Drosophila melanogaster: one gene and its partners. The protein of the gene in region 2 interacts with the protein of the main gene of each other region in a pairwise test. Each region holds a gene or a part of one and is shown on either strand. Other genes may lie near its edges. The genes, in order: Nmda1, CG11581 and CG13047.

Region 1 (3,757 bases), on a different chromosome or scaffold from region 2:
CTACATATCGTAATTAAATCGAAGTACTCACCTCTTTCGGAGCATATTTGGTTGCGGAAACTCCCATTAAGAACGACTGAGCTGCTGTAAACAGACCCAAGAATATGAAGTTCGTCGGTGTTTGGCGGCGCACACTTTCGCAGCAAGCCATAGACAGCATGGTTACTAACATTACGCCGAGGGCAACCCAAAAGAGCCACATGTTATTCCTGGCAAAGGTTTTAGTGCCCTCGTGGTATACAAACAGGGCAACAGCTCCAAAAGTGACGATTAGTTGTCCCTAATGACACAGAAATGATAACTTATTGTACATGCCTTCTATGCAGAATTATCTAAAGCTCACCATTAGAATCAGGTACACCTTACGTATGAATCCGCGACGGATGCTTTGGTCGTCAAACGAGAAGTTCTTGGGCTGGCTCTCCGGATCATCGTAGGCTCCGTAGCCGCCAGCAGATGGTGGTGGTTGGATAAATCCCGGCTGGGGAGCATAACCTCCCGGTGGAGGCCCCTGTCCGTAGGGCTGTGGATAGGGTTGAGCACCTCCTTGTGCATAGGGTGGGTAGCCTTGCGGCGGTCCTTGAGGTGGATAGCCGCCCTGAGGTGGATATCCACCATATCCTCCCTGCGGGGGATTACCGCCGCCATAGTTGTACTGCTGGTTGGGATCTGCGAAATAAGACATCTCGTTTTAGTTTGTCATCTAAAACGGTGCTACCAACGCGTTCGCTACAGCAATCTGTCTACCAAGAACTGTAAAATCTAAATGAAACGCTTCGCCGTGACGAAGAGATGCGGTAAACCAAGAAACAATCTCGAGCAAATATGTACATACAACCATGATAAGAAGGGACAAGTACGATGTGTAAAGAGAGAGAGGTAATGGAAATGAATCAGCTCTGGGCAATTACTGAGCATTCAACGGGTCGACAAGCCCCGGGACGAACAAAAGCATGCGATCAGAAAACGGGTAAGCTGTAACACTCGCTTAGAAGTTAAGAAGATTGAACCTTGGTATTGGGGATACTGGGGAACACTTTGCCAGGACATTCTCGAGGGACTTCGCTCTGATTTCTATGTAATTCCGAAACCGCTGTGGAGTAAACTTAGATCCAAAAAGAATGTGTTAGTACGGCTTGTCCTTATTCCACTCACCTTGCATTGTTTCGTTGTTGTTTTACCTGCAAAGACACGATGATAAGCAATCATTAGCTAATTTAATTAGTGTCTAAGAAATGTGCACACCTTTGGTGGCATGCAACTTTAATTATCAATCAATTTGCCACTATAGTAATGCCTGAGAAACTTCGGCACCGTTTCGTTTGTTGTGGCCCCCATGACGTGTACCTCTCAAGCTTTCTTGTGTGGGTTCTCTGAAAATAGCTGGGGCCATTTATGAACCTTACCTACACGCTGAACTGCGAGCTTAAGCGCTTTAACGTAGTCGCAGCTATTAAATTAGTTCAGCCGGAGCACCACCAGCGCAAATAATACATACACAGCAGCTCGGTGTAGGAAAAGTGGTGACTCACTTTTGGAAATTGCCAGCTTCTCGAAATTACCGGGAAACCACACTATTATAATTTTCTTTGACGTGACCTACTATCTTCCCATTATTCAAATTATGCTCTTTGGATGACTAATTACCTCTGGATTACGTTGCTATTTGATCAAAACAAACAATTGAATGTTGTTTTTCTGAATATTTGTTTTTTTTTTTTGCTATAAATTAACAGAGATGTGCCTGCTGACTGCTATCGGAACGCAGCTGTAATTATCGATGGTGGTGTAACTAATTTTTTTAGAAAGTGGTACATTTACAGACTACATTAAACTCGGCTTAAACATTATTGCGTTTAAATTTTATTTGACACGTACCACACTATGGCGCATTTTCTGTAAATTATATACTATCGTTTATATATGTTTAAAACATACAGAGTATTGTAATTAAACTAAGAATGCTTCACCAGATGTTGAGAAATGCTACAGATGCTTTTGTTTTTTAAGCTTCTCAACTACGGCACTTCTGTAGATTTTCTTATGCTCATTATTTTTGAGATTATTCTGCACTTACTAACTCTTATACTATACTATACTCCTTATTTACTAATATTATTTTTCAGCACTAGCTAAGCGCAACTTAATTCATAGGATGCTGGACATGTGACGTCACAAAATCAGAAATGCGCCACCCTGAAGCACACATGGAACAATCGATATATATCGATAGCCGCGATAGAAATCCTCTAGACTGCACCGCGCTGGTGGCATGTGCAATAGTACACGACGCTCGTGAAATCAATTCGTTTGTGTATTAAAAGGGCAAGATCTAGCTGGTAAGTCGAGTGCACTCGAATGCACCATTGAAATAACCAATAGGGGAAGAGACAGGAAGTGAATAGAATCGGTAAATGATCAGATAAAAGACCGCAAAGTTTAGGTTATGTGCGAGCCGCTAGACAAAGAGTGTTTCTCTGTCCCCGGAAATATTTGTGGACATATGGCTATTGGAGGAGGAGACTGGGTGACTGAACTGCAGTCCGGAAGACAATATCACTTATTCGCAAATGGGGCACTTCATCAGCCAAGTGCTATTTATAAAACCATGACGCAACGCACACAATACTCCTCCTTTTTCGCCTGTTGCTCGCTTATCGAAACTGTGTGGTCTACGTTCTGGTTTTGTGACCCTCTTGTAAAATATACAACCCTCCCTTCCTTACAGCCGTTTTTGTGCATTCCAAGATGGTCGAGGACAAAGAGCAAGTGGCCAACGGGGAGCAGGTCTCCAAGAAGGGAGCCAAAAAGCTGGCCAAGGCCGCTAAGGTGAGAATCTTTGTTTTGGGGACGTGGCGTTTTGTTTTTCTTGAACCTCTGATAACAGCTTTAATCTCTATGTGTACAGAAAGCCGAACAAAAAGCGGAGAACGCCTCCACCGCGGCGGCCAATAACGCTGGTGGCGATTCTGCGGAGGATCACGCCGCCGGAAGATATGGCCTCTCGGAAATGATCCAATCCAAGGACAAACGCAGTGAACGCAACTTTGTCCCGGTTTCGGAACTAAGCGGTCAGGTGGGCAAAGGACTGGTCTGGGTGCGAGGACGCGTCCACACTTCGAGAGCCAAGGGAAAGCAGTGCTTCCTCATCCTGCGCCAGCAGAGCAGCACGGTGCAGTGCATCCTGGCTGTCGGTGATGTTATCTCCAAACAGATGGTCAAATTTGCGGGAAAGTAAGTTATAAATATTCCCTCGTATATCTTAAGTTTATCTTAAGAGCCGTAACCCAAAAAAGCACAATATCGAATTTGAATTGCGCAGGCCATATAGATATTTTCATCATACTTTGATAAGATATCGTGAAATCAATTAAAGGTTTATGAAATGATAAACATTGCTTAGAATTTTTGTTGTTGCAAATTTAATAATTCATTTAATAATTCAAAAACGTCTTTATTTTTTCAGTATCCCTAAGGAGAGCATTATTGATATCCAGGCCAAGCCAGTGGCGGTGTCTAGCAAGATTGAATCCTGCACAGAGCAGTCGCTGGAATTGTCCGTCGAGCAGATATTCGTAATATCCCAGGCCAAGGCACAGTTGCCATTGCAAATCGAGGATGCATCGCGTCCCGAGAACGCCGATGATGCGGAAGGTCTGAATATTCGCGTGAACCAGGACACGCGCTTGGACAACCGAGTGCTCGACCTGAGGACCCCGGCAAATCAGGCCATTTTCCGACTGGAAGCCGGAGTATG
Region 2 (3,757 bases):
TGTATGTTCTTTAGGGGAAACTCTTTGACGTCAGAAACTAGTTTGGCAAATTAAAAAAAAAAAAAAAAATATCGCGAAGCTAAAATTAACTCAGAAGGTTCTTTGAATTTCGCTGAAATTAACTTAAATCGATTAAGTTTGCCCTTTAGGTGGGCAGCTTCTTTCTCTACCTCTTTTCTGTGACGTCAATTCAAAATTTATACATGTAAGACAATCATTTGAATTTATTCGTTTTTAAGTTGGATTTATTTTAGAATATGAAATGATAAACATAAATCCATTTTTAATGATCCATTGTTGTTGCATGATAAACTATTACTGCTTTTAAGTTGTGGATGTTTTTTTTTTTAATTCTTGTACCATTTTGTTTAAACTTAATTCCATCCAGAAACATATCAGAGTTCAATAAACCTTGATGGTGAATGTGCATAATTATCGTAGGACTTCGGTTTTAGTCCACACCCAAACCACTAATCGTGTTTTTTATTTCAGCCTTTAATCGCCTTGTATTGACTTTTGAAGACAACATAGTTTATGAACACATATGTGTCTGGCCAGGGTATGCATAAAACATAGGTCTGTCTATATATATGTATCAATCACGACGATAGATTGTCTCGTTTATGGTTATCAGTCAGTTTTGGCAAAGATTTCGATTAGCATAGAGACAATCGTTTTGTCTGTCCGCATCTTTATGGCCAGCAGATCAAATAAATGAATAAAAACAAAGGCACAAAAAATACAAGAAAAAAAAAAAACAAAATATGGATCATAATTTATGGCGAACATGTTTGATGAACTCCCCAATTTGGGGCTTCGAAAGCCATCGCATTACTTGGCCCTCTTGTAGACATAGCCGCCATTGGATGCGTAAACCGTATCCGCCACACTCTTGGGATCGTCGGCCGATGGTGGTGCCACTACTGTCCTCTCACTGTCCTTTGGTTGCTCCTTCGCCGGCTCATCGGAGTAGCCCGGCGGAGCGGGTCCTCCGAAACCGGGTCCAAATTGTTGGTAGGGATTCTGGCCGGGCACAGGTCCGCCGAATCCTGCGGGCACATTGAATCCTGCTGGACTGGGTCCTTGGAAGGGACCCTGGGGATTTGTGAGGGGAAGTCCCTGGTTTGTCAAGAACTCCGGTGGATATGCGGATCCTGGGAAGGGCCCTCCCTGTGGCGGGAAGTTACCTCCTAGGAAACCATTGCCCGGTATTCCCTGTGGCCCGAAGGCACCTCCTTGTGATGGGAACACTCCCTGCTGTGGTGAGAAGGGAGCTCCTTGCGTTGGGAATCCATTGCCAGGGATGCCTTGTGGCTGGAAGCCAGCTCCTTGTGGGGGAAACCCACCTGCCTGCGGGAAACCACCTGGCTGGGCAAAATTACCAGCTTGCGGACCGAAAGGACCACCTGGTGGCAGTTGGAAGGCCGCATTCGTAGGACCCCCTGCGAATGCGCCTCCATTGGTAGGACCCGCCGGGAATGCACCTCCGTTGGGATAGGCCGAAGGCACTGGCCCAATACCATGTCCTCCTCCCTGCTCGACAGGACCTCCGCCGAAGCCGTAGAATGGTGGATAGATGGGCAGAGGGAAGTTTGGCGGCTGGACAGGCTGTGGCAAAACGTTGCTGCCCGTGGGAATGGCATAGCCCGGCGGCAGTGGCAGTCCAGTCGATGGATAGAATCCAGATGGATCCTTCTGCACCTCCTGGCCATCAGCAGCAGACCGTGTGGTTGGCTCCAGTTCCGCACTGGGCGGTATATATTCCCTGGGCAGGTGACTCACATCTCCGTTGATCAGGGGCAGAAGTAGGACCACAACGGCCCATGGCTGCATCATCTCGAGCTCCGGTTTGATCTCTGGGAACTTGCACGGCGACGGTGGCTATGCGGCCACGGGCCCCAAATCCGCCATATATAAGACGGCATATCAACATATTACATAAATTCGCGGCCGGCTCATTTCACTTTCGCATTCGGCGAACGGAAATTGCTTTGCATCATCACAAAGGTTCCATAAATAATCGCCAATCCAAAGGTGATCGAAGGTGCGAGGGGAGGTGCCAAAACTGAACTATAAAATTTAATTTAGCGGCCGGATTTTACATAAATAAACTAACGCCGAAATCGAATGTTAAATTCAGCATCGCACAAAGAAAAGAGGCGATAATGAAAAAGATTCAATAAACGAAAAGAAAGAACAATGAAAGGGTAACATTTTATTTGATTTAGATTCAAGTTCTTGCTCAGCTTTATGATGAATATTAAATTTTAAAAATTACTACCTGAAAGCAAAAGGGTGTTAATTAAAAACAGGAAAAACGTCGAGGAGGTTCGTTTTATTTACTGTAATATACTAAATAATGGTTTTGAATGATTTCAAAAAGTCTTGAGTAAATAATTTTTCAGAAATGCCAAGCACTCTCAGAAAATGTATCTGCAAGTCATAGTTTTGAAATACTCAAAAGCTTAGTGTTAAAACTAGGAAAACCATAAAGTTTCATGCTATATTTAAACTAAAAGCTCTTTGAAAATGCTTAAAATAGTCGCAGCTTCCAAGTTTAATCAAAGCTGCAAGCTGTTTATAAAAAGCCCAACTTAATTAAAGCTTTATATTATATTTTTTAACGCTAATACTTAGTTAAAACATTGATGTATGTTAAATGTTTATGTTCTTGTCCTACAGGTTTTAGTGTTAACTAGTCGAAGAATTAAGCTTTTTAATTTTGAAAATTACCATTATAGACTAATGCCAATAAATCTTCTTTACTTTGTATGGACATATCATTCGTATACTTTATTATATTTTTATTGGCTTATAAAGTGCCACCTTTTGTCTACTCTGAAGTATTAAGCACCAACAAGCACTTGCTTTTGACGTTCGATTTTGAAAACGAACCGCACTCAAACCGCATCAAAACCGCAACAAAACCGCACCTAAACCGCAACCAAACCGCACTCAAGTCGCGCGTGGTTTTTAGTACGCTATTTTGGTATCCTGGTCCGGAATTTTGATATAAAGTGAATAGGGATACACTTGTTAAAAATTTTATTAATATTAATATTAGACGCTTGTTTTTATAACTCTGAAACCCATTTTAAAAACAAAAGTATTTATTTGGATTATTGATGTTTCGGTTTATTTCGTTGTAAACAAAAGTTTACAAAACAAAAAAAAAAAATATATGGTTAATTTGGGCAGTATGTAGTTATGGACACTGTTTCGTGTTCAGTTGCAGGCCTCTTCGTTGAAGATCCCTACTTCCTGTAGACGTAGCCACCGTTGGAGGCGTACTGGGTGCCCACATCCACGGAGGGTGCAGAGTAGCTCACCGATGGGGCGGAGTAGCTGACGGCAGGAGCGGAGTACGACTGCTGGACAGCAGGGGCGGAGTAGCTGACCGATGGAGCGGAGTACGACTGCTGGACAGCAGGGGCGGAGTAGCTGACCGATGGAGCGGAGTACGACTGCTGGACAGCAGGAGCGGAGTAGCTGACCGATGGAGCCGAGTAGCTCACAGAGGGTGCCGAGTAGCTAACAGAGGGGGCGGAGTAGGTCCTCTGGACAGCTGGTGCGGAGTAGGTCCTCTGGACGGCCGGTGCGGAGTAGGTCTGCACAGGAGGCAGGTACTCGTTGCTGGGGGCGACATACGACTGCTGGATGGCTGGAGCGGCGTAGGTCTGCTGCACGGCTGGTGCGGAGTAGCTCACCGAGGGAGCGGCGTACGAGCTCTGGACGGGGGGCAGGTACTCGTTGCTCA
Region 3 (3,374 bases), on a different chromosome or scaffold from region 2:
AGTTGCCCATGAGTGGAATATGATTATGATAATCCATAAATATTGCTTTGACCATAAATAACAATCGATATTGCGCCTTAGGTGACAACGCAATCACAACAAATATTGTTTACATGGTGACCAAGTTGTCTGACTTTAACTTCCCTAAGTCCCTAACTTATGTATGTTGCTACTTTGTCAATATTATCTTTAAAATTCAATGCAGCTGTTAGAAAAAATTCCATTAAAAATTAAATGCAGACCTATAATTTATGCATAATTTGTATTAAATGATATCCACCAATAAACAAGCTTATTTTGCATATCAAAGAAATGAGTGAGAAACGAGAAATTCAGAGCATTAAATGGAAAGTTCTAAAGTTTCTAAAAAAAAATTAAATAACTTCCTCTATCTGAAATCTGGAAATATATGGATGCTTAATAAAACCACTTGCACAAAAGGAATCATCTAATCAAAAATTGATCATAGTTAAGTAAAGAAGTTATTTTATATTTTCTTAAGAAATATATATATATTGACCCAATCGAAATGAGCGTCCAATTGAATTTTCATGAACCAAAAATATCCGATAAATAATAGTACTTTCGTTTTTCGTTAATTATTCAAGGCATTTCTGCAAATAATAAGATGGTGCGCTCTAATTGTTGGTTCGTAATTTATTATCAGTTTTTTTTTTTGTTTATCAAAAATTTCCTATAGTTTGGCCTGCTTCACAGGTGTGTCCTTAGACCACCACTGGAGCTGGAGCAGCAGCGGCGATGGGAGCAGCATAGGATGCAGCGTAGGGAGCGGCGTAGGGAGATGCCAGGTAGGGTGCAGCGTAGGGCGAGGCATAGGGATAGGCGGAGTAGGCAGCGGCGGCATAGGGAGCAGCGGCCAGAGGAGCAGCAACGGGAGCAGCGGCCAGAGGAGCAGCGACGGGAGCAGCCAGAGGAGCAGAGTAGGCGGCGGCCAGAGGAGCAGCAGCGTACTTGGCCACCACGGCGGGGGCAGCTGGGATTCCGGACACATAGCGGCTGGAGTAGGGGCCGGCGAACTCGAACGGAGCGGTGGTGTAGGAGGACAGGGTGCCGTCGTAGTTGTTGCGGACATCCACCTGGCTGCTGCCACCTGCGGCGTACAGAGGAGCATTAGCGTAGGCCAGGGGAGCAGCCAGAGGAGCAGCCAGTGGAGCTACAACTCCTGGTTTGGCCGCAGAGCAGGCGATGAGGGCAGCGAGAACCAACTGGAAAATAGGATAGGTAATCATTAACCACCTCTTAGTCCACATTGTTTGGGCGCTAATCCCCATAGGATCACTTACAAACTTGTACATATTGCTGTGGTTGGGTTTGTCTAAAGCACTTGAGCGATAATGTTCATTTGGAGCCAGACCAGTGGCTTATATAGCTCGTGCCCATATCCGTGCTCTTTGGGGGACATTCTGTCTGAGCCGATTTTTGGTCGCTTCTTCATTAGCTGGCCCACCTGGTCGAGTGCCAAGTAGCATACATGATCGCCATTTGGCCAAGACGTGCTCCGCCTTCAATTGCCCAATGGACTGTCGGAAGTTGTCCAAGTTGTCGCTTGAATATTTCGGTTGCACTTGGAAAAATATTTGAGCTTTGGTAAATATTATAAGAAAAGATATGATATAATTCTGATTTCAATGTATAAATATTTTATTTAAAATTTTTAACCTTAACTATTTAGTGCAGTGTATTTACATGCAGAGGTAAACTTTTTGTATAGCATACCAAGTTATAGTCTTTATAAAAATTTTTCCAAGTGCAGTGATCGACATTTGTATGCAATTGAAGACTGACTCGGTGGCCGGGCTGTCTTGTCGTAATTTGCAGTCTGTTTGGGCCATCAATGTGCGCCGCTTCGCATTGAATTGGCCGCAATCTAAGTCAAATTGGCCATAAAAATGGTACCCCTTCCTCAAAGGCCACGATTCCGGCCCACTAAGTGTCTCATTAGTTCACTTTTTAATGGCTTGCAGAGACGCCAATAAAAGGCGGTCGTAAATTTCCCTCTCATCCTAGCCGACGGGTCTTCATTTGTTTTCGTGTTGACCTGACCTTGACGCCACCTGGCCACAGGATGTGATGCACCCTCATCCTCATCCAGTGGGTCTCATCAATTCGCTTCAGCTTAATTGGCCAACAAGGCGCGGGGCCGAATGATCGAGCAGTCGAAACCTGCTTGCTAGCTGACTTAATGAGCCATCTCTCTCGGTCTCTCTCGGTCACGTGCTGGCCTGGTCAGCAGCATCGTCGTCATCTGATGGCTTGGTGTCTGCGATTTGCATTGTTTTACTCTTTATGATCGGGTACTTTTGCTACTTATGAATGTTTGTAAATTAGCATATTTTAGTGTCAATGACTTGGTAGAACAACCCATTAGGAGCATGATTTCAAAGAGCGAGTTTATGAAAAATCGAAGTTTTTCTGTAGTACAGTCACAAAATATTATACTCATACCGCTTACTAACAAATCGTATAGAGTATCTAAATGGTCGTTATTTTATAGCTGCTTCTGAAATCCGATACGATGATGACGCCGGTCTCAAGGTTGTCGCGATGACGAGTCGAGAGGGCGATATATATATATGTATATAAATGATATCTGGTGATCAAGTTGCCCCACGCATGTAACTGTATACTTTTCCATATATTCTGTATTCTGTATCCGCATTGTGGCCACTTTTGATCGGATTGATCCAATCTTGGCAGCAACCACAGCTAGTACATTCCAACTCCAAGGGTGACCTCTTCTCGTTCACTTGTTCACAATTTCTGGACAGGAATTCTCAACCGATGACGCGCCAATTTTCCGGTGACTCAAGCACGGAAATGAGTACATCTTTAACCATCTTCATCTTCATCTTCATAGACCATCGCCATCAACTTCTTGTCTTCAGCACTCCACTTCACAGCTGTGCGATCCGCTCACTTCCTAGTTAACCTTTTAAATTTATTTGCAATCTGATTTAGAGGCTCATCAGAAGCTTTATCCCTCTTAGGAATTGTTTGGCTGTCGTCAGTACCGTTTGCTTTAATTGATTTTTAAGCCCCAAATTTATGCAGACCATATTTCTAATTCCCGTTTTTGTTTTCGCGGGAAGCAGGTTCTATACGGCAGGCATAAATATGTCTAGATATATAGATAGATCCAGATCCCAGTTCCCAGTTCCGTTCCCAGATCTGATCAATGACACTTGACTTTAATTGGCTTTCATAAATATACGTCAAAAGTTAGTCGTTGTCTCGATTTCTTTTGTTTTCACAAGAGAATTCCGAATGCCAATGCCAAGTTTGAGGTCTCATTATGAGGCGCGGATGGAGATGGAGATCTCTTGGCCCGATTTGTGTGTATGTAAATAGCAACC

The links.
Region 1: the proteins of CG11581 (region 2) and Nmda1 interact in a two-hybrid assay, tested with the Drosophila melanogaster proteins (one large-scale study listed by BioGRID).
Region 3: the proteins of CG11581 (region 2) and CG13047 interact in a two-hybrid assay, tested with the Drosophila melanogaster proteins (one large-scale study listed by BioGRID).

Annotation. Positions count from the first base shown.
Region 1 is NT_033778.4:12,878,042-12,881,798, forward strand, and holds the start of Nmda1 (N-methyl-D-aspartate receptor-associated protein), read right to left. Parts: upstream 1,758-3,757; 5' UTR 1,648-1,757; intron 1,616-1,647; exon of another isoform or gene 1,407-1,615; intron 1,333-1,406; exon of another isoform or gene 1,163-1,332; coding exon of another isoform or gene 1,156-1,162; exon of another isoform or gene 1,106-1,155; 5' UTR 1,051-1,105; coding exon 1,011-1,050; exon of another isoform or gene 686-1,010; coding exon of another isoform or gene 670-685; coding exon 344-669; intron 281-343; coding exon 32-280; intron 1-31. Other genes in the region: AspRS (Aspartyl-tRNA synthetase), read left to right, coding at 2,749-2,829, 2,909-3,234, 3,467-3,757.
Region 2 is NC_004354.4:14,175,026-14,178,782, reverse strand, and holds CG11581 (uncharacterized protein), read right to left. Parts: upstream 1,861-3,757; 5' UTR 1,837-1,860; coding exon 832-1,836; 3' UTR 327-831; downstream 1-326. Other genes in the region: CG1368 (uncharacterized protein), read right to left, coding at 3,255-3,757.
Region 3 is NT_037436.4:16,284,040-16,287,413, forward strand, and holds CG13047 (uncharacterized protein), read right to left. Parts: upstream 1,358-3,374; 5' UTR 1,317-1,357; coding exon 1,305-1,316; intron 1,227-1,304; coding exon 726-1,226; 3' UTR 641-725; downstream 1-640.